Astyanax mexicanus: one gene and its partners. The protein of the gene in region 1 purifies or fractionates together with the protein of each later gene. This does not show direct contact. Links are inferred from orthologs where the notes say so. Each region holds a gene or a part of one and is shown on either strand. Other genes may lie near its edges.

Region 1 (7,547 bases):
GTTAGTTATCTGTAACATCAGCTAAAGGAGGGTCAACGTGGCTAGCTATGTCTTTGACTGACAGTAGAGTAAAAGTTTTTAAAATGATCACGGTCCTACACAGCACCACTTCTTATTGATGATTTTGTAATAATGAAGATCCAGAACTTACTCGGGTCGGTGTTGATCACCGGTAAGGCTCTGACCGAGTCGGCGGGTTCATACTGGATACTCTGGAACCACGGCCGGAGGTCGATGTACGCATCGTACGCCTCGTGGAGAATGTGAATAAAATACGCACAAGCTTCTTCTCCTTTACTCTGGACCAGCTCCAGGATTTTACGAACCTATTTAGAAAAGGAAAAAACAAACAAACATAAAAACATCATCGGTACACTTTCAGTTCTTTAAGGAATGCCATTCCATATTGAAAAAGTGAAGCAAAAGTGTTTCTTTTTTTATCCAAACTAACAGAGAATGTTATTGAAAAATAAGGAAAATGTTAAAAAGGTTGCAGGAACATTAGCCTGTTATGTTACAGAAATAAAATTTCAGGAACATTCTGAAAATGTTTGACAAAATAAAGGTTTGCATTAGAACATTATTATTCAAGTCGAGTCAAGAACATTTAAAAACATTTAATAAAACAATCTTAAAAACGTTCAGAAAACATTCACCGGTCTTTAAATTACCTTTATACACTGTGTGATATAGGAGTGGGCGATATGACTCTAAAATAATATCTTGATATTTCATGGTATTTTCATGATATGGATACTTTTGGCAATAAGACAAAACATTGAATTAGAAAAAATATTTAGAATTTTATATGGCTAATTGAAATATATAAAAACAAATAATTTTATCAGATTTGTAACAGAAGTCAATGATCCAGGATGTCATGATAATAATAATGTACTCCATTTATCTCCATATATCCAGGATTAAAGTAAAGTAAAGTAAAGCAAAGCAAAGCAAAGCAAAGCAAAGCAAAGTAAAGTAAAGTAAAGTAAAGTAAAGCAAATTAAAGTAAAGTAAATCAAAGTAAAGTAAAGTAAAGTAAAGCAAATTAAAGTAAAGTAAATCAAAGTAAAGTAAAGTAAAGTAAAGCAAAGTAAAGTAAAGCAAATTAAAGTAAAGTAAATCAAAGTAAAGTAAAGTAAAGTAAAGCAAATTAAAGTAAAGCAAAGTAAAGCAAATTAAAGTAAAGCAAAGTAAAGTAAAGTAAAGTAAAGTAAAGTAAATCAAAGTAAAGTAAAGTAAAGTAAAGCAAAGTAAAGTAAAGTAAAGTAAAGCAAATTAAAGTAAAGTAAAGTAAAGTAAAGCAAAGTAAAGCAAAGTAAAGCAAATTAAAGTAAAGCAAATTAAAGTAAAGTAAAGTAAAGTAAAGCAAAGTAAAGCAAAGTAAAGCAAATTAAAGTAAAGCAAATTAAAGTAAAGTAAAGCAAAGTAAAGTAAAGTAAAGTAAAGTAAAGTAAATCAAAGTAAAGTAAAGTAAATCAAAGTAAAGTAAAGTAAAGTAAAGTAAAGTAAATCAAAGTAAAGTAAAGTAAAGTAAAGTAAAGTAAAGTAAAGTAAATCAAAGTAAAGTAAAGTAAAGTAAAGCAAAGTAAAGTAAATCAAAGTAAAGTAAATCAAAGTAAAGTAAATCAAAGTAAAGTAAAGTAAAGTAAAGTAAAGTAAAGTAAAGTAAAGTAAATCAAAGTAAAGTAAATCAAAGTAAAGTAAAGTAAAGTAAAGTAAAGTAAAGTAAATCAAAGTAAAGTAAAGTGTGTGGTATGTATGTAAGTTTTTGGTGTGTGTGTGTGTGTGTAAATGTATGTAAATATGTGTGTATGATTGTGCCCAGATATGCCCAGGTACTCTGTCCTGGGTAAATGCTGTAGTGCTGGATGCAGTCCTCCAGATAGACGGTTGTTTCCGGTTGAGAGTACGCTGTGTGCTACTGGCTGCTGCTTCTCACCGGTGTGTGGATAATTTTATGTGGATAATAAAACGTGTTAATTGTAAAGCGTCATTGGGTTTCTAGAAAGGCGCTATATAAGTTGAACTTCATTCATAAAATAAATGATACTGTACAGATATAATCTGTCTCTAGTAGATATATAAATGGGAAATGAGAACAGTATGAATTTTTCTTTTACCAAAAACAGTAAAAAAGTAGAACCCTGATGTGATAATTAGGGGTGGTTGATATGGTACCATATTTTAGGGCATAATATTGTTCACCATATTCTACATTTTTGGTGATATTATCATGTACGATAGGATATGGCACACCCCTAGTGATATATATTTAAGCAACCAGTCATGGTGAAGAGGGTGTGGCTTCTCCTGTATAATACACTATGAGTGTGTATAGTTTTTGAATTGTGTGTTTGTTTGTGTGTGTGTGTGTGTGTGTGTACCTGCTGGGTTCTGGTGTTGGTGTGCTGGATGATCTCCAGGTCCTCGGTACAGATGAATCCCTGGTTCTGCAGGTTATCTAGCACACACTGTGTGTTCCTCACGCGCTCCACCAGAACCTCGCGGTGGAGGGTCAGTAACTTCAGAGCTCGAGCCCCGTCCATCTCACACACACACACACACACACACACACACACACACAAACACACACACACAAGTGGACCGTCTGTCAGCTGAAGAGTGTCCCCAGTATCGCCAGTATCTCCAGTTCAGTCATGCTGGTGTTGCTGGTGAAGATCGTTTAATGAACTGAAAGTAAAACTGTAGAGAAACTCATAAAAACCCAACACTCGATCACTGCCTCTCACAGTGTGTGTGTGTGTGTGTGTGTGTGTGTGTGTGTGTGTGTGTGTGTCGCTGCTCTGTTTCAGGAAGTGAAACTGGAATGTCTGTTGAAATCTGACACTAACCACACACACACACACACACCCCTAGCAACTATTCGTGTTTCCTAAGTTTAACAGCATGTTACTCAAAACCATAGACTGTATATAGCTGGACAGAGCATCGTCTCTTAAAAGTGAAGCCACCACAGGTCGGGCGCCCCCTGCTGTTCGGCTGCAGAAAGCTGTGTAACTCCACCCATCCCCATAGGTTTCAATGGCAAAACAGAAAACTTTCAATCACGTTTTTTTCTAATATACTGTAATTCTACCTCCATTACTTAAATGCAGCAGCTAGTGTAGCCTCTGCTTATATTGTTACACTTTTATATCCCCACAGAATTCGTTTTTTAAAACGTTATTCAGCTCTATTCAAAAAAGGTGTGGTTATGGTAAAAGGGCTGCTTATGGGCGGGACCAATAACAGACCGTCAGCTCCGCTCCGCCCCGCTCTGCAGCCTGTGACCTCGAGGCAGCCCTCGTGGGCGGGGTTATTTAAATGAGTAGGCGGTCTCTCCACAGTCTTTCTTTCTCCCTCCTCTGGTCTCTACTGCGCTCTACAGACTCGGGTTTCAGGATCGCCAACATGGCGGAAGATTTTGGCTTCATTTTCATTGAATGAACGGCAACGGAGACACGGCGTCCATCTTTTTTACAGTCTCTGCTCAAAACATATTACAGTAATATAACTTAATACTTATATATTTAATAATACAGAAAGGGATCTTCAATAATTTAATGAATTTCATTTGATTACAGAAATTCCAAGTTCTGGTTTAAGCACAACTAAATAGATATTTTGTTTCCGAGGTTTGACCCCCCCCCCCCCCCCCCATTACTCCAAAATGCTACAGTAATATAAGTTGATCCTTATATTATTAATAGTATAGAAAGGCTTCTTCAAGAATTGAAGGATGTCATTTGATTACAGTTTGATTATCTGGTTTTATAAGACTCCAAAATCTGGTTTATGCACAACTAAATTGTTCTGAGGTTTGACCTCCGATTTCTCCAAACTGCTAAAGTAAAATCACTTGATACTTATATATTTAATAGTATATAAATGATGTCATTTGATTATTATGATTTGCTGGATTAATAGGACTGTTAATTCTGGTTTACGCAGAAATAAATAGACAATTGTCCTAGGTTTGACTTTTTATTACTCCAATACACTTCAGTAATATATCTTAATATTTGTAACATTACTAGTATATATAGACTTCTTTAATAATTTAATGATGTCATTTGATTACAGTTTGATTTGCTGGTTTCATAAGACTTCAAATTCTGGTTTATGCATGAACATATAGACATTTTTTTTGACCTCACATTACTATAAAATGCTACAGTAATATAAGTTAATACTTATATGTTTAATAGTACATAAAGGCTTCTTCAGAAATGTTATGATGTCATTTGATTATGGTTTGATTTGCTGGATTAATAGGACTGTAAATTCTGGTTTTCGCAGAAATAAATCAACAATTTTCCTAAGTTTGACTATTCATTACTCCAATACACTAGAGTAAAAAATATCTTAATATTTTAATAGTATAAAACATTAATAGTATAGAAAGACTTCTTTAATAATTTAATGATGTCATTTGATTACAGTTTACTTTGTTGGTTTTATAAGACTCCAAAATCAGTTTTTAGCACAAATAAATATATTTTTTTCCTAATTTTGACCTACCATTACTCCAAAATGCTCCAGTAAAATCATTTGATACTTATACGATTAATAGTATAGAAAGGACTCTTTAAGATTTTTTTTGATGAAATTTGATAACAGTTTGATTTGCTGATTTTATAGAACTTTAAATTTGGCCTTCTGTAAAATCAAATAGACATTTTTCCCAAATTTGACCTTTCATAACTCCAATATGCTACATTAATATAACGTGGTACTTATGAAATTAAAACTATAGAAAGGCTTTTTCAATGCTTTCATGATGTCATTTGATTACAGCTTAATTTGCTGATTTTGTCGCACTCCAAATTCTGGTTTACGGAAGACCGAACAGACCTTTTTCCTAAGTTTGACCTCCCATTACTCCAATATGCTACAGAAATATATGTTAATATTTGTATCATTAATAGTATATAAAGGCTTTTTCAAGAATGTATTGATGTCATTTGATTAAAGTTTGATTTGCTGGTTTTATAAGACTCCAAAATCTGGTTTATGCACTAAATAGACACATTACCTAAGTTTGACCTTCCAGTACTCCAAAATGCTACCGAAATATCATTTGATACTTATAACCTTAAAAGTATAGAAAGGCTTCTTTAAGAATTTAATGATGTCATATGATAACAGTTTGAATTCCAGTATTATAGGACTCCAAAATCTGGTTTATGCACAACTAAATAGACATTTTCCCTAATTTTAACCTTTTATACTTAAACATGCTACAGTGATATCACTCAATACTTGTAAGATTAATAGATTAATAGAAAGGCTTTTAGTCAAGAATTTAATGATTTCATGTGATAACAGTTTAATTTGCTGATTTTATAGAACAAAACCGAATAGACTTTTGTTCTAGGTTTGACCTCCCATTACTCCAAAATTTTACAGAAATATCACTTGATTTTTATATCATTAATAGTACATAAAGGGGTCTTCAAGATTTTAATGATGTCATGTGATAACAGTTTGATTTTTGGGTTTTATAGAACTCCAAAATCTGGTTAATGCACAACTAAATATGCTCCAATATGCTACAGTCCTATAACTTCATTATATAATTAATAATTAATAATTGTTTTTCGTGAGACCAAAGATTATACCTCCCTGAGAAATACAAGCCAAAGTGATTAAAAAAAAAACGTTACAAAAACTTTAGGGATAAGAATCCTAAAATAGCAAACAAAACCCAAAGTAATATTTAACTTAGGTGTTTATCTAACTAAACCTAACAAAAAAAAGAAAGAAAATTTACACAAATAACTAACAAGAACTAAAGAAAGAAGATCCCCCCCAAAAACAGGCTTTATCCCCTAAAGTACTAATGTCAAACTCAAAACTCAGTTTAGAACTAAAATGATTCTTTTAAATCACAGTATTTTGATAAACTGCTTCGAAGTCCCAATTCAGGTTTTGTTTTGTCACATTTCTAATATGTGACAATAAGCTGATCTTTTTTTTTCCCTTACAAATATGAAAATTTTCTCATTCTTAAAACATATAATTACTGTCCTATTTGCAAAATCGCTCATTTATTTATATCAACTATTCTTAGATTTCTCTTTCTTTCTTTTTTAATTGAGTATTTATTCTTAAAATTCTTAAAAATATATGAATTAATTTTTCTATTTCTATTTTGTTTTAATTCTGAATTATTTTATTTTTTTCTGTTCCACACAATCTTAATCTTTTATCATTAATCACAGTAAGTGAAAACTCTGAAATCAAAAACATGCATGAAACGTTTGTCCTGGTGGTAAAGAGTGGTAGTGCAGGTTCAGGTGGAGGCTTGTTATAATCTGTAAATATATTAAAATTACAGTTTTTCTCTGTTTTTTTTTTTTTTTAGCATTTTTCAAAATAAGATTGAATCTCTCAAAATGGTGTGTTCAACCTGCGCTTTATCTAGTCATAGAATCCATTTCTCATTCATTTATACAAACAGCACATTTTTTTATCTAATAATCCTGAAGATAATTCTGTACATCAGGTGAATTATGACTTTTACTAAGAATAGGAAGTCAATAATTCAAACGTTTCATAGAGAGAAGAGGTGTGTAATCTAACAATGTAATTTATACTATAATACTGTAACATTAAAGACTAACTAAACTTCACAAAAAAGAAAAAAAAGAAGATTCCCCCAAAAGAAACAGGCCTTATCCTCTACAGTAATTATGTAAAAATCTGTATTTAGTTAGTTTGTTATTTCTTGTTTTATTGTGTATTTTGCACTTTTATCTTTATGTGGTATACTTGGCGGTGAGGAAATAAATAATTTTATTGTAAAAGGAAACTTGTTTCTTACTGTTTAAGAGACAATAAACTATTAAATCTTGAATCTTGAATCTTGAGTAATTTTTTGTACTACAGTGTAGATGCAGAAATAAATACAGAGATTTAGATTTAGCAGAACATTATGAACACCTCCTTGTTTCTACACCCATTATTGTGCTACTGTTTTCAGCTCCACTGATTATACATTACACTGGTTCTAAAACTGTGTTTAGAACCTGTATATAATCTACACTTCAGTCCTTCACTCTCAGAACTACAGTTTTATCATTATTAACATAAGTTTTATTGGTCCTACAGTAAAACCCTGTGGAACACCACAAGTGTGTAAGACTGGTGGAGGAGAACGTGATGCCAAGATGTATGAAAAAAACTGTGATTAAAAACCAACCAGGGTTATTCCACCAACTATTGATTATTTCTGAACTCTTAAAACTATGAATATGAACTTGTTTTCTTTGCATTATTTGAGGTCTGAAAGCTCTGCATCTTTTTTGTTATTTCAGTCATTTCTCATTTTCTGTAAATAAATGCTCTAAATGAGAATATTTTTATTTGGAATTTGGGAGAAATGTTGTCTGTAGTTTATAGAACAAAATGACAATGTTCATTTTACTCAAACATAAACCTATAAATAGCAAAATCAGAGAAACTGAATCAGAAACTGAAGCTGTCTAATTGTTTTAAGTAAATAGTTCACTGTAGTTGTGTTTGTGTTTTACTGTATAATT
Region 2 (7,774 bases), on another chromosome or scaffold:
ATAGCAAACAGTAAGCCAAACACAAAGATGTGTTATGCTGCTGATAAACATATGCTAAATAGTCTGAGATACACTGAAAAAAAAGCAAAGAAAACCAAAAACAGGAACTTACTGTTATAGTCCTGGACCAGAATGTGTGCATAAGATCGCTGACAGAGCCATTCTGCATTGTCAGCTGTATCTCCCAAAGCCACATTCAGCTCCTGTGAACATAACAAAACTTAGTTAGTTAGTTTGAAAGTACAGAAAGACTTCTGATAGTAGCTGGTATCAGTCTGTCAAAGCTGAGCCTTGAGAGTCAAGGTGGTTGAAATGCTGGTCAGCCAGGCAAAAGCATACCATAATGCTGGTATCGGCCGATAATAGTTTTTTATAATCACTGGCATTGAACAATGTTTAGATATTTCAAACCGATACTTGCTGACATTTTAAATCCTTTTAAATAAATGCTACATTTAAATCCTTTAATATAAGCTCATTTATATTTATTTTATTAGTTTCAATAGGGCTATTGTTTTATTTAACCTGTTATTTACAAAAAGGTTTCCGGCTGCGATCAGTTTATATAAGGGCCAGTTAATATAAGATATATTAATGTGAAAACAACAGATATGAAAACAGATTTCTCAGGAAACACCCTTCATTTTATTGTCTGCATACAGTTGGTTGGAAACTAAAACTATATAAATGCTACATTTGTTTCTAAAGTTATAACATGGTGTCTAGTTTCTAGTAAGTCAAAATTGTGCATACTGGCATTAGCAGAGATGATAATGGCATTGGCCCAGAAATCCCACATCGGTCTACAGTCATACTGTATATGTAACTAGCTTGGTTTAGTTGATCATGCTTGTACACCAGCTAAACCAACAAACCCAAATGAAAACATATCTTATATTGGTAATCTGGCAAGTTAACTAGCTCTTGACCACCATAGCCAACCATCTTGGTCATGCTGGTCAACCACCTTAGTCTTCTCTCCACAGCTTAGAAACATTCTGGATCTCAGCATGGTCAAGCTTGGTCATACTGGAAATATAATGAAGCAGCTAACTTGGTCAGGCTGATTATGCTGTTAGACCAGCTAAACCATTAAACCCAAATGAAATCACACTCAATGCTGGTTCCTAAGCCAGCTGTTGGCCATGCTGTATGTTTTTCTTTTTTTTACCAGGGTAAATGTATACAGTAGCAAATATGGTACATCTTCATCATCCTAATTCACAGACTCTCCACAGCTGGGCAAGGACAACTTTGGATCTCAGCAGCAGGTTATAGACCAGTTAAATCATCAGACCCAAAATAAAATGTAGTATATTGGACCACCTTTGTCATGCTGGTCAAAGCACTTTAGTCTTGCTGCTGCTCGCGTTGGTTAGCCAGCATAGTCAAGCTTGGTCATACTGGATATCTAGTTAGCTAGCTTGGTTAGGTTACCATATGCTGTTCAACAAGTCTTAATTCTTTTTAAACCAGGGTGAATTTATACAGTAGGTTATAGACCAGCAAACGATCAAACCCAAATCAAAACATACCATATTGGACCAGCTTTGTGTCAAGCTTATACTGGTTATTTAGTTAGCAGGCTTGGTCAGGTTGATCATGCTTGTAAACTATCAAACCCCATAATAAGAAAAACATAAATACCATATGATGGTAAATAAGCCTGAACTAGCCATGCTGTATGTTTTTTTTTTTTTTACCAGGAAAAACTTATACAGTAGCTAATATGGTAAAGATGAGCATGGAACATTCTGGATCTCAGCAGCAGGTTATAGACCAGCTAAACCATCAAACCCATATAGAAATACAGCATATTGGACCAGCTTTGTCATGCACGTTAGTCTTGCTGCTGCTCATTTTGGTTAACCAGCATGGTCAAGCTTGGTCATTTATACTAGTTATCTTACTAGCTAGCCTGGTCTGGCTGACCATGCTTGTGAACCACGTGAACCACATAACCCCAAAATAAGAAAAAACATTACTACCATATGCTGGTCAACAAGCCTGAACTACCCATGCTGTATGTTTTTCTCTTTCTTATTTTTACCACGGTACATTTATACAGTAGCATCACCATCCTAATTCTCAGGCTCTTCACAGCTGGGCATAGAACATTCTGGATGTGAGAAGCAGGTTATAGACAGGTAACGTTAGATACTCTGCTAGCTAGCTAACTTAGGCACCAACTCTAAAAGTGAGCAAAACATATTATACCCACGCTTTTTAATAGTATTAACTCAAATATATTATGTAAACTGTGAATAACTGTGTGTTGGATGTGAACACAGTTAGTTAGCTAGCTTAGTTAGTCAGAAAAATTCGAGAACAGCTACGTTAGCTTTGCTAGCTAGAGCAAACCACAGTCTATGGAGCAGACTGGCTAAAAACACTGACCAAAGCTAAAAACCGCGGAACTGCTGCATATTATCTAAGAGTTAACAGCTGTCTACAGTTTAAACTGGTTAGCCATCACATCACAACTGTCAAAACTTAGCTAACTAGCTAACAAACCCAGTCACTTTACCCTACCTCGGCTAACAGGCTAACGTAGCTAGCTAGCCATTCAGCTAACCTAGCTCATCCGGTTTTCAGACACTGCGCTGCTTAGCTAAGTTAAATGTCCATTTGCACAAATCCCGTGTGTTTTTGGCTCCTCAGACATGAAAAATGTATTTAATGGTATAAGTTACTCTTAACGCTCATACATTTAAGCATTGTGTTTTAAGCTAAGTGAACTAGTTAGCTAGCTAGGTTAGCAAGTTAGCCCCCTATGCTAGCTACGCTAGCTGGCTATCGCAGTGTTTTTACCTGCAGAGCTCGCTTCGGGTCCTCGTCTATGAAACTGTCAGTAAAACTCCTGCAATAAAAAGCAAACAGGGTTAATAAAAGGTTAATAATCCACCTTATATCGCGCTATACTGTCGGTTTGTGGCCGTGTGGAGGTTACCTGTCGCTGGCCATGAGTCCGCCGTTCTCGTGGGTGAAGAAGAAGGTCTAGAAAGTTCTGAGTGAAACCGAAAGGCCCTCCTCGCTGCTGCTTAGCGCCATGTAAACATCAGGACTGTCAAACTCCCAACTGTGGAGAAAAACACCCGGCAAAATAAACGCCTGCAACCACTGAACTCTGAACCAGACTTCATCAACTACTGGCTCAAGTGACAGAACTTCTAGACTTGTTTTACTGTGTTTACAGATGATAGTAAACTAATAGTAAATTAATACATAAGTCATCCAGACTATGAAGGAACACACAAAGACTCATGTAGTAACTTAAAAGTCTCATTCAATCATTTTCTCATTCATTTTAAAATGTCTAGTTGTGGTCTCTAGTATGAAGGAATGCCATGTGAGCAGTTTTTTTTGTGGATAAAAGTGCTCTGGTGTTTCTGTATAAGCCTGCTTTATTTCACAGAATTAGTGGTCTCTGAAGAAAGACAGGATTTCGGCTCTTGCTCATGAATATTCATACATGCAAACATATCGCCTCTGATTGGCTAGCAGCACTGCAGCAGAGAACGCCTACCTGCCTTCCCCTGCAGTCAGTTTTACAGCTCTTAAACTCAAAGGACAAAATGTTTTCGGAGACACAGCCTTAGTTTTAAAGATACAGCACTAAGCGCTAGGTAAAGTTAACCCTTAAACTTCGCTTAACGTCAGACTCACAGCGATGCGAGTGCCGTAGCTTCCCTATTGTGTATTCAAGCTCTTGGTAAAATGCAGAATCAACCGGAGATCCGATTTAAACCTATAGGTACTTACACAATATAGCTAATGCTAACTAGCTTGTGTAAACAGAGCTGTAAGCTCTTTAGCTGACAATGTCTGCTCTGCTGCAGCCTGGCTTTAGCTTTGTCTGTGGGCGGTCCTGAGCCAAGATGGGTGAGGTCATGAACTCACAGGTTGACGTAAACATGGTGCTTTTCCTGATCAACTTGTTTTTCTAAACATTTTATTTTACTAGGTACTGCAGACAATAGAGTTTGAAGAACAGTTTCATGTGTAGCTGCATATACAACTCAGAGATACCTATAATATTTCACAAACAACAAGAAAAAAGTAAATTTTAGGGGAAGGAGACCTTTAAAAGTGTAAAAACTAACCAAAATAATCTGTGAAGCATTTAGGTGGCTCTTATCTGTGCTTTCTGAGGCTGGTAACTCTGATGAACTTGTCCTGTGCAACAGAGGTAACTTTTGGCTTTCCTTTTCCTAACGAGTGCCAGTTTCATCACCTTAACACCTTATCACTTCTGGGTACTTTAAAAGTTCACTAAATTTTTCAGATTTACCTTCATTTCAGGGTTTAATACTGTTTACAGTATAAAAAAGTGTTGGCAATATTATTGCGTACAATGCGATATGGCACACTCCTACACAAAAATATTAATGATTAAAATCTTACCTCTCATTTTTACATCAGGTTTGTTTGTAGTTGATTAACCACGTTTTTCCTGTATGTAGGCTCACATAGTTCTTTACATTTTCAAAGGCCCTACAATTCAACCCTGTGGAATGCCACAATTCACAATAGATTCTGTATTAGTAATAATACAAAGTATTATAAATATAATATTATAATTATAATATTACTTATTACTTAAAGTTATTTTTCTTTGTTTGTTTAGAATGTTTTATAGAATGATAAAAAAAATACTACTGGTGTGCATGCCTGTCAGTTTGTGATCTCTGTGGTCTCTGTTGCATATACACATACCGTGTCTAAGTGCCAATATCAGCACAGTATATCAGATATCAGACAGTATCATTATCGATGAAACACTAAAAATTAAGGTTATTCTTAATTCCCTTAAACTCATCAACAATGCCCAAACAACACATTTCTGAAATGTATTAAAGCTGCACAACATTGAACAAAAAATGGACTTAGCAGTATTTTGCTATTGCGTTATAATAAAATACCGGACTTTTCTCTAGATTTCCAGAAACCAATGGCCTATCATGCCTCATAATGCTAATAATGCACTCTGTACATGACGTATTGGAATAATAATAATAATTAATTCTAAACAGATATATTCTGCCTCTGATGTATGTCATAAAAATAAGAACAGTTCAAATTTAAATTTTGTATCAAGAAGCGTGCACTGCAGTTGAATTAATTGTATATTTAACAAAAAGTTGCAAAGGTTTGATAGCATGAAGAAGCAATAAGCTTGTTTAGGCTGACACAATTTTTATTTTCAACTCAAAATAAAGTTGCCGTACAGGAGCTTTTAATTTTTTTTATTTGTTCAGTTGTCTCTTTTGCAATACTTTTAAGTCCAGGTTCTCCTCAAGATTTCTTTCTCTTTCTGGGAGTTTTTCTGTAAAGTGGTTTTCCAGCTGGAAACAGCCTTGATTATATTTTCTCACAAAAATAGGCATCAGGATTTTCAGGTTACAGTACAGAAACAAATAATCAAGTCCGCATTCCAAAACAAATGCATATTTTATTTCTTAAATACAGGCTTGACAACCATTTGCGTATAAAATGAACAGAATCATCAAATACAGTGATATTTTAAAAAAGACAAAAAAAAGATCTTAATATTTTCTGCAAACTGAGACATACATGTTCAACAATATCAGTGAAAAGTTCCAACACCTCCGACATATAAGAAGGTAACTCCCGTAAAAGACAATTATTTCATCAGATACAAGGGATAAAGCAGACAGACATTTTTTTTATATGGCTTTGTTATCCAGATGCACTGTACAGGCTTTTTTTCATTAAGATATACCAATATATGCAATAATAATAATAATAAAACACATTTTTACAACAGTTACTGTTGTCAGTAATAAAGCACATAACATTAAAGAATCCAAAAAATGGCATAGATGGAGGCATTTTCTGTACAGGAACGCCTGTTTTTGAAAACAACAAAATCAACTAAATTGTTTCATCTGATTTTATTTGTTAAATATAAATCTTTTGTTAAAAAATTATAAGATATTTGAACCACATTTCAACCTGAGAAATGTGTAAAATAATCAGATTTGCAAGTAAAACACAAAATGAACCAACCTTGGACCCAAAACCATCAGTTATTTTGGAGCTTAGTCTTAAATATACAAGGTAATACAGAATAAAACAATGGATAGAGTAAACAACAGTAATTGTTTCCAATATGTTCCTGGCCTGGCCTTCAAAGTATACAAATCAGATCAATGATTTTTGTTATTCAAACCGTTAAATTTCTCTCAAAAGAAAAAAAAATATATAGAATGATACAAATGAATAAAATGCAGCTATTTATCCACAGTAGTCCAGCATAACCTAAACATTCTGCTCTTCTTGAGTTTAATAAATACATTAACAAATATCAGTCTGAAACATTGGTCACCTTAAGCATTGCCCAATCACCAGAAGATCATATGTTTTTATCATAAGTTTCATCTCCAGTGATACCACAGCTGTCCATGTCCAAAACAACAAGACAGCACCACTGACCATCTGTCCCCCCCCCCAACCACCACTTAAGCACAAACACTCGCCAGCGTGGGCGTCTGTTAGCTGATGTAACAAAATTGGCAGTTTAAGCACATTCAGCCGTCCTATAATGTTGCATCAGCAGCAGTTTTAAAAGAAGCAGTGGGCTGGTTTTATTGAAGGCGACTCTGTGGAAGCACATGCTAGCCTTCACCCTCCAGGCGCTGGTAACATTGCGTGATAGGAGAATCCTAGCTAGTGGCTGGGAACTGACAGTTATGATATCAGGCAGAAAATTGGGGGAAAAATAAATTCTAAACACTTGTCCCTAAATTGGCTCCCCTAGGGCTAGAGATATAATTGCTGTTAAGTATGCATTTTTGTTTTTGTTGCATGATGGCTGCTGCATACGTATCCTCGTTTGGTCTAAGTTGGTGTTCTCAAAAATTTACACTGTGTACAAAAGGTGCAGTACACATAATAAAAACAGTAGTGGGCAGTGAACCCACTCAGACACGTCAAAATGCTGGAAGAAAAGCTGAAAGCTGTAGCTACGTTCCAAAGCCTACGCTGCAGTCCACGTAGAGCAGGTCCTCAGTAGGACACTGTCTTAGAAAGATTGCTTTTTGGGAGGCTAATACAACGAGCAAGGTTCCGCCTCTTTTGAGGGAGAAAAGAGAGCCTCCTAATTTGTGCCTCTGGCTTTTACTTTTTTTGTCCACAGAAAATTAAAAATAAATTTAGTTACCCTTAACGCTAAATGTGTACAGAGAAATGTGGGTAACAGAAGACTTAGAAGGATACTTCAGTTGCCAATTCTTTAAAACGCAGCCTTCTAAAGGACTAAAGTAACTGAGTTACAAGGGGAAGTGGTTAAAATCTTATTCAAGAACCTAAACATAAATAAATAGAAAAAGAACACTGCTAGAATACTAGATTACTAATAGCGGTGCTCTGTAGGCAACCCCGCCAGTCTAATGTTACAGCAAAGACAGTAAAGTTTAGTAATCTTGTTGCTTACTTTACTTTAATTTAAGGCAACATATATTTCGTATCATTTACCCAAATTAATTTGTAACAGGGAGCTGAAACTGGCTATTATGTAGTTCCACTTTAAATGCAGAAGCTTTAGGCACTGCTGCTGTATCATTTAAGGTGGAACAGGAAATTTAGCCTGGTAGCTAGCTACCAAGTCATACTACTAGCAATTTTAAGCTTGTTGTTATAATGAAGAAAAGGTTCAGAACACGTTGGAACTACAATAAACTAGGATAATGCAATGGTCTTATAATTTTTAACAAAGAAAATACCACTGTGACAAGTAGATGACAATGACTTG
Region 3 (7,828 bases), on another chromosome or scaffold:
GGCCTCTCTTTAATTAATGACTTAAAATACAGTCAGAAGAGTAAAGGAGCTACACAAAGGCTTTTGAAGAAACAAAATTGTGGTTTTCAGAAAATGGTTACTAATAGATATTGATTCTTGGAGTCATGGCCTCTGCTCCCACACAGATTAACATTCCACATAAATGTTGTAAGCGCATGCCAATACATGTCTGAAGGCCAAAACTGACCAAACCACTTTCTAAACTCAATGTGGTGAGCGTAGAGCTGAGGCGAAATTTCGAAATTGAGGAAGCTATGGTGAAAGAGGCGAGAATAATGGCACGCTAATCAAAAAAAGTAAGAAAAACTCACTAACCTTTACATGGTACTCTCCATCCAGCAGAATATTCTGTGTTTTCAGATCATGATGGAGCAGCGGAGGGGTCATGTTGTGGAGGAAGTTGACTCCAAGTGCAATTTCATACAGAATTCGAAGTCGCAGCGGCCAGGCCACCACTGGGTACATGTTTTTCTGCCAAACACGAAAAATGACAAACAGGATGAGCAAAACTGAAATACTGAGATTTGTTATTAAAGGTCACATTTTATAATTTTTTTCCCATTCATTTTAAAATATCTAGTTGTGGTCTCTAGTATGAATGAATTTCATGTGAGCCATTTTTCTCCGGTGTTTCTGTTTAGCCCTGCTTTAAATCACTGAATTAGTGGTCTCTGAAGAAAAACAGGATATTGGCTCTTGCTCAGAACTATATATATTTATACATGCAAACAGATCGCCTCTGATTGGTCAACAGCACTGCAGCAGAGAACATAACCTCCAGCAGTGAAAAGTGGCGTTGATAATTTCTTTCAGCTAAACTAACACTACTAAACTCTAAACTCTTACCTCAGACTTGCTGATTCAGTGCTTGTGCAGTTTTACCACGGTGAAGACCCAGAGTCTGCTTTATACTTTATATCATAAAATCTGTACAAATGGCGCCCGCTTTGACCGGTGTTCTGTCGAGTTGTGCTACCCTGTCAAACCGTGCTTCACTAATGTATATTTAAGGCCTTGGTAAAACGCAAAATCAGCCGGAGATCAGATTTAAACCTGTAGTTACTTACACAAGAAAGCTAACGCTAACTAGCTGGTGTAAACAGAGCTGTAAGCTCTTTAGTTACTGCACCCCGGGTTTAGTTTACTAATTAGTTTACTAATACACGAGTTGATGCTTTTGCAGATCGACTCGTTTTTCGGAGTATTCTCTTTTCTTTTCTAGCTACTGCAGATAATAGAGGTTATAGAATAGTTCCAATGCAGCATCGTATACAAATCAGAGAAACTTATTGTATTTCACAAAGAACTAGAAAAAGTGGATTTTAGCGGAAGGAGACCTTTAAATGAAGCATATTAAATATGTGTTTAGTTAAAGTAAACCTTACCTCGTGCAGAAGTTCATCCAGAGATCCATTGGTCATGTACTCTGTAACTATGCAGAAAAACTCAGGCTCGTTGCACACGCCAAATATTTGAATTATGTGGTTGAACCGGGCCTTGTGTAGCACCTCAGCTTCTTTCAGAAGACAATTTCTTTCCCTGCAAGGAAGTGTACAATTACGCAAAAAGTGTTAGGGATTCCCCTTCTCTGAAACAGCTGAGTAGTGCTTACAACAGACAAGCCACTGCCGTCAAACTGTTTCTCAAGCATGACATGTGATTTTAGCTCTTCTTATCGTGCTCCTCCTGTACTGCTATTAGTGAATTAACTCCACTTTCTCATGTGTTGATGTCACACTGACACGAAATACCACCATTTAGCTGGAAGGTATGGCCAAAATGACACCACATCCTGGCATCTGCTCAACTTCATAATGAAATTAAATTCTTCAAAATGTTGTTAGATGCTGATCTTTTGTTGGTTTTATGTCATTATCAGTTGTGTCGAAAATTTAGGAAATAGATTCTGAGGCAGGATAACACCCAGTTACTTCTGAATCTTAGTTTAGCAATTGAGACTTTTATTTTATTGATCATAAAAGCTAAGAGCTGATGACAACCCAGTTACACATTTATATCTAGCAGTGAAACAATATTTTGCCAGCTCCAGGAGACATTGTTGTCCCAGTGACTAGTACACTCATCAATATACTGCCTTTTAAGTGAGAAAGAGCATATCCAACTCTATAAACTGTGGACAGCATTTCTCCAGAATTTGTCATAAAAAATAATGTCATTTAGAGCATTTATTTAATATAATATGGCTAAATATAAAATGGCTAAAATAACAAAAAAGATGCAGAGCTTTCAGACCTCAAATAATGCAAAGAAAACAAGTTCATATTCATAAAGTTTTAAGAATTCAGAAATCAATATTTGGTGGCATGTTCTCCACCAGTCTTACACACTGCTCTTGGATAACTTTATGCTACTACTGGTGCAAAAATTCAAGCAGTTCAGCTTGGTTTGATGGCTTGTGATCATCCATCTTCCTCTTGATTATATTGTAGAGGATTTCAATTTGGGAAAATTAAAGAAACTCATCATTTTTAAGTGGTCTCTTATTTACTTAATTATACTGGTTTATTATTATCATCAGTTCTAATACAGTACTTTTACCTGAGGGTGGATTAAAGCTAACCTTACTCTATCAGTATTGATGAAGGGAGAGTAAGTAAGCTAAGCTAGCCGGCTAGCTAACAGTAGCTAGGTTACCACATGTAGTTCACAACAAAAACAGCACTAAACTAGCTAAACTAAAGTATCGCAGGCCCCGCTGTGTCTGTCTCTCTCTCTTAGCTGCTGCGGAAAAGGCCGAACCGGAGCCCCGAGTCCTTGAGCTCACCTCTCCCCGACGGGCGAGTCCAGCTTCAGGCACTTGATGGCGACGGTGGTCCTCCAGTCGCTGTGCAGCGCCCGGAACACGGTGCCGAAGCCGCCCTTGCTGATGTAGTGCAGGTCGGTCAGCTTGCGGTAGGGGATCACGGGCAGCGCGCTGGTCAGGCTGCCGATGTTCACGCAGCCCATTGCGGGCTCCATTGCGACCGAAAAACGGAAACAATGCGGAGACGGTCAGCGCCGCCGGTTAGCGAAAATCCCCGCGGTGCGCCGCGGACGAGGCGGCCGAGCCGGAGCGTCTGATTAACGGCATGACTGAGGGACAGGAGGCGGGGACGGTGAAGACTGGCGCTCCAGCCAACGATAACCCACTCGACTGGAGAGAACGGTCGGTTTACGGAGCTTAACAGGAAAAAATCTCTAATATTAAAAAAAGCTCTAATAAAACGATATTCGGTAAAGTTTCCGATAACCCAGAAAACTGCACGCGACCTGCGGATGATTTATAAACTTAACGAAAAGAAACTGTCAGCGGTGAATCTGCGCTCTGTCACTAGCCCCGCCCCTCTCTCCACCGCCCCGCCCCTCTCTTTTTTCATCTCTCTATCTTTCCACCCCCTCTCTCTCTCCACCTCTCTATCTCTCTAGCAGTCTCTCTACCTCTCTCTTTCTATCTCTCTACTACTAATATGTTAGAGAGGTGAATGAGTTTAGTGAAATCTGAGATCATCACAAAATTATTGCTGTTTGTGGCCAAAATATTGTATTTTGGAAACAGCCCAAGGGATTTTCCAAAATACAGCAATGAAAACAGGTCAGCAGTGTGCTAAAACAATTTGCTATTTGCTATTAACTCTATTTACGTAAATAGAGCTGAGTCTTCTTTTGTGTCTTCCCCTGTGCACGTGTGTAGTTTTAAGACAGATATTCCTGGAAGCAGAAGCTCCATCAGATCTAAATAACAACAGCTTATCGACTTCAGCTGTTCTGACCTGTGATTGTCGATGGGTCAACATCAGTGTTTCGTCACATTCTCCAGACCAATTCAAAGCTCCTGATTAAGGCTGTATATATATATCTGTCTAAGCACCCTCACAGTCATGCTCCTCGGCCAGATTAAATCTAGACCTGGAACTACTGTGACTCTTAAAGTGGTTTGGGAATTCCCACGATGTAATAGGTTTCAGGGAAGTTCAGCAGATTTCTGGGAATCTCCAGCACTCTTAAATTAAACATCTTAAAATAATAACATTTAAAAAATCAAGTATATCATGTACTGTTTTGTTAATTATTTTAAATAATTATATATTTAATTGTGTTTTATAAATAATATTGCCAATACGTTCAGGATTTTTTTTTGACAGTCTATTGTTATTTAATTTGCCATAATATACTTTTTCTTTGTAATATTATACATAAAATAACACTTAGGTTAGATGTGGACCTAAACCTTGTCTATTACACTATTTTTCTTTATATATTTATTTATATAAGTTATTTATATACTGTTTAGCTTTAAATGAACTAAATTATCAATTCTACACACATTTAAACAGCAGCCCTTTTTAAATATATATATATATCATAATGATCAAAATCATAATGATAAATATTCTCAATTTAAAATATTTCCAGCTGGCTCTGCTCGCTGTCAATCACACCCCAGCGTCTACGCCCCGCCTCCACATGAAAACACTCCAGCGATTGTGTGCAAGTGCGGCGCGGTTCTTTTTAATACCACCTGTTTTCAGACATGTCCCGCCCCACGTGAGCTCAGATTCGCTAAAACGGTCACACCTGCTCTTCTAGGATTGGTAGAATCGACGACGTGCTGGCGAGTGCGATCTGGGAACCAATCAGAGCGCAGGATGCGGAATGCCACTAGTCAATCTCAGCGTATGGGGGCGGTGCTTAACTCAAAACGGGTGGATTTAAGATGCTGAAGCTGTCAGCTGATTTTGGAGCAACAATCTCTCCTATGAAACTCGTTTATAACGGGTATTTCACTCCTGCTCCTCAAAACACTGCGATTATCCTCCATATTTAATCTGCTGCTGGTAAGTAGCTAACCTGTTAGACTTATTTACTCAAATAATTTGCTGTTGGACAGAAAATAGTTACAGTTAGCCACTAATTTCTATGTATTTAAACCACATTATGTTATTATAGGGTTTAAAAATAGTAATATGTTTATAATAAATACGTTTCTGAGAAGGTATATTTTTGTGGGCACCACGTTTTTAGGTTCATAGATGTCCTTCAGATTTAGCTAGAAATGTTTTTAGCTAGAGGATGTCTGTTATTTCATGTTAATGTGGAGTTTTGACATTTTATTTTATACCAAAATGTTTCAAAATAGAATAAAATGATCCATGGTGAATGTGCTAAAAGCTAAGAATTTTCACTGGATTTCAGAACCTTAAACCAAATGCCTGTATGTTCCAGATTGAGGCTGTATGATAAATCATATTCTTATTTCTCTTTCACACAGTAAACGCACACACCAAACTGCTTCTCTGCCTGGGAAAATAAATGCAAAATAGTACCAACAGTAAAATTTTTTTTTTAACAGATTTAACAGCACTTTTTAAATTCTAATTCTTATGTTTAATTAAGTTCATTTTAAATACCAGTATGTTCTGCATTGTAAAATCATCCAAACTTTGAAGAAAAACAAAACCAGAATGTTTTTTATATATTTTAGATTCTTCAAAATAGGCACCTCTTGCTTAGATTAGACAGCTTTGCACATCTCTGCTGGACTTCCTCAGTCATTTTTAAGAGCTTGTTAAGAGTTAATTACTTGAATTTTTTGTCTCTTAATGTGTATGAGAGCATCGGTTGTAAAGTTGTGAAGAGGTAGAGTTACAGGTATACAGTGAATAGCTCTATTTAAGTAATGTTACAATCTATATTATGAGAAGCAAGAACTACTCAACTATGTAAAGAAAAAAATATTTAAAAGAAAAAATGAAGTTCAGGCAATCTGAAAAGAATAATTTCAACAACTTTGAAAGTATCCTCAAGTGCAGTTACCGCAAAAACCATCAAAAATGTTATGATTGAACTGGCCCTCATCAGGTCTGCCCCAGAAAAGGAAGAGTAAGAGTTTCTAAGCCTTAGAAACTGCAAGTTAACAGAACTCCGGATAAGTGCCACCTACAGATGCATCACAGATTATTTAAGTTTTGGTTAACACTTTGTTTAAGTATTAATTTCTTCAGTATCCTCCATATTTAGTACTTCAGTATTAATTTACAATGTATTCTAGAACTTTGTCCAAACTTTCTTACTTGGATAAGTTGGATTGGATAAGTAAAGCACTGTGTAAAAGGTGCTATATGAACACACTTGTCATGCTTTTTCCTAATCTTTGACTTAAAAAATATGTCCTTAAAAATTCTACCCTTTAATTTTTGCTCTACTTTTCACAGCTGCAGTAATGGCCGGCCCATTTGTTCCAGTCCCCTACCCTGTAGAAAGATGTCCAGCTATCTGGCAGCTCAGACACGGGATCAGAAGGACCTCCAGCCTCAGCAATCTCTCCGTCAACTCGGACTCATCCCTCTCACAGAACGCCTGGGTGAAGCCAGGGCTGAGGAAGATGAACAGTTTGGACTGCAGAGCCAGTAGAGAGAGTCTGTATGAAAGACCACCCTTAGCCACCTTGGTGGGCTACGAGGTCATGGAGGAGAGGGCGAAGTTCACGGTAAGTTTCTTTCAAATGTTCCTTTTAGAGGGTTCAGTTAAGTTTTGTTCTATTGAACAAACATACCACTGCTAATCAGCTCAAAAGTCAGTTGTGTTTGTGGATTATATTCGTATAGGGCTGATTTACAAACAAATGTAGATTAAAAGGAGAACTCTGGTGTAAAATAGACTTTTGCTGTAGTAAAACATGATAAAAAGTCAAACTTACCTTTGATTAATAGCACACCTTCGTTCTCCCACAGCGGTCTGAGATCCAGAAATTTTAACAGTTTGTCCAAACACCCTTCAGACTGGGTGATACAGGGCAAAATTTGCCCCGATAAATCACTTTTAACGTTTTACGTTATCCAGCTCAAAGTAGCTCCACACTAGCTCCTTGCTAGAATCTGGAGAGCCCTGACATTTAAAACGAAGAATTAATAACTTAAAAAGTGCACAAGAATCTTATTAAAAAACACTGTTTACATCCTATAAGGTGAGCTTCAGCTCCAAGTGCGGCCATCTTTGAACTGATAATAACATAGACATAGTACTTTTTATCTTGTTTTAATACAACAAAAGTCCATTTTACACCTGAGTTCACCTTTAAAATGCAACCAAGCTCATGAGGTTTTTGAATTATAATGAATGATAAAATGAAAAAAAAAAATGCTTTTCTGGCAAGCCTTTGTTTACATTCCTCCCCTTTCCTTCACTGTCTCGCTCGAGGTGACTGTAGTTTCCGCCGGTTCTCATTTTTCAGCCAGTTCTTGGGCTCCCTATCTTCTTATAAGAGCATTTTTTTCCGAGGCCATGTCCCAATTCACTAGCCGGGGCAGCAGTAGTGTATTGGACCGCGACCCTGACAACACAGGTTTGATCCTGCAAGAGGAGTGGTGTGTTTTTTTTTTTTTTCCTTTTTTCTTGGGTTTACCTGCTTTGAGATCACTGTTCTGCAACTGGGTTCAACAACCCTCTGGGCTGGAGAGCTACTAACTTAATTGCCAACCCCTGATCTACAAAATGCAGGTTTGAATAAGTCTTGTTGTGTTCAAACCTCCCTGAATATAAACTGAAGTGGGTGACTATCAGACAGTCACACACACATGACGAAAGAATCCGAGCCACCTAAACAAGAGCCACATTGATGCTGGCTAGAGGACTGGGTCTGAACATCTCCAAAACACCAGACCAGTCCCCAGTATTCAGTAGGGAGACCTAATTAGGTTTGGTTTCTCTTCTCATGTTATGCAAATATGAGTAAAACCTGGAAACCTGTTGCACTAACAACGTACTCTAACAGCTCTTTCTCAGAATGCAGGGTTGAGTAAGTCTTGCC

The links.
Region 2: the proteins of nod1 (region 1) and sugt1 purify together in Homo sapiens (affinity purification with western blotting; 3 studies listed by BioGRID and IntAct, with this or other methods). This does not show direct contact. The link is inferred for Astyanax mexicanus from reciprocal best matches to the Homo sapiens genes NOD1 and SUGT1.
Region 3: the proteins of nod1 (region 1) and ripk2 purify together in Homo sapiens (affinity purification with western blotting; 4 studies listed by BioGRID and IntAct, with this or other methods). This does not show direct contact. The link is inferred for Astyanax mexicanus from reciprocal best matches to the Homo sapiens genes NOD1 and RIPK2.

What each region holds. Positions count from the first base shown.
Region 1 is NC_064408.1:130,924,400-130,931,946, reverse strand, and holds the start of nod1 (nucleotide-binding oligomerization domain-containing protein 1), read right to left. Parts: upstream 3,100-7,547; 5' UTR 2,550-3,099; coding exon 2,388-2,549; intron 327-2,387; coding exon 152-326; intron 1-151. UniProt on the Homo sapiens protein: Pattern recognition receptor (PRR) that detects bacterial peptidoglycan fragments and other danger signals and thus participates in both innate and adaptive immune responses.
Region 2 is NC_064428.1:20,742,421-20,750,194, forward strand, and holds the start of sugt1 (protein SGT1 homolog), read right to left. Parts: upstream 3,098-7,774; 5' UTR 2,965-3,097; coding exon 2,951-2,964; intron 2,861-2,950; coding exon 2,812-2,860; intron 204-2,811; coding exon 113-203; intron 1-112. UniProt on the Homo sapiens protein: May play a role in ubiquitination and subsequent proteasomal degradation of target proteins.
Region 3 is NC_064415.1:55,318,137-55,325,964, reverse strand, and holds the start of ripk2 (receptor-interacting serine/threonine-protein kinase 2), read right to left. Parts: upstream 3,014-7,828; 5' UTR 3,001-3,013; coding exon 2,807-3,000; intron 1,561-2,806; coding exon 1,407-1,560; intron 493-1,406; coding exon 337-492; intron 1-336. Other genes in the region: sorting nexin-16-like, read left to right, coding at 6,242-6,508.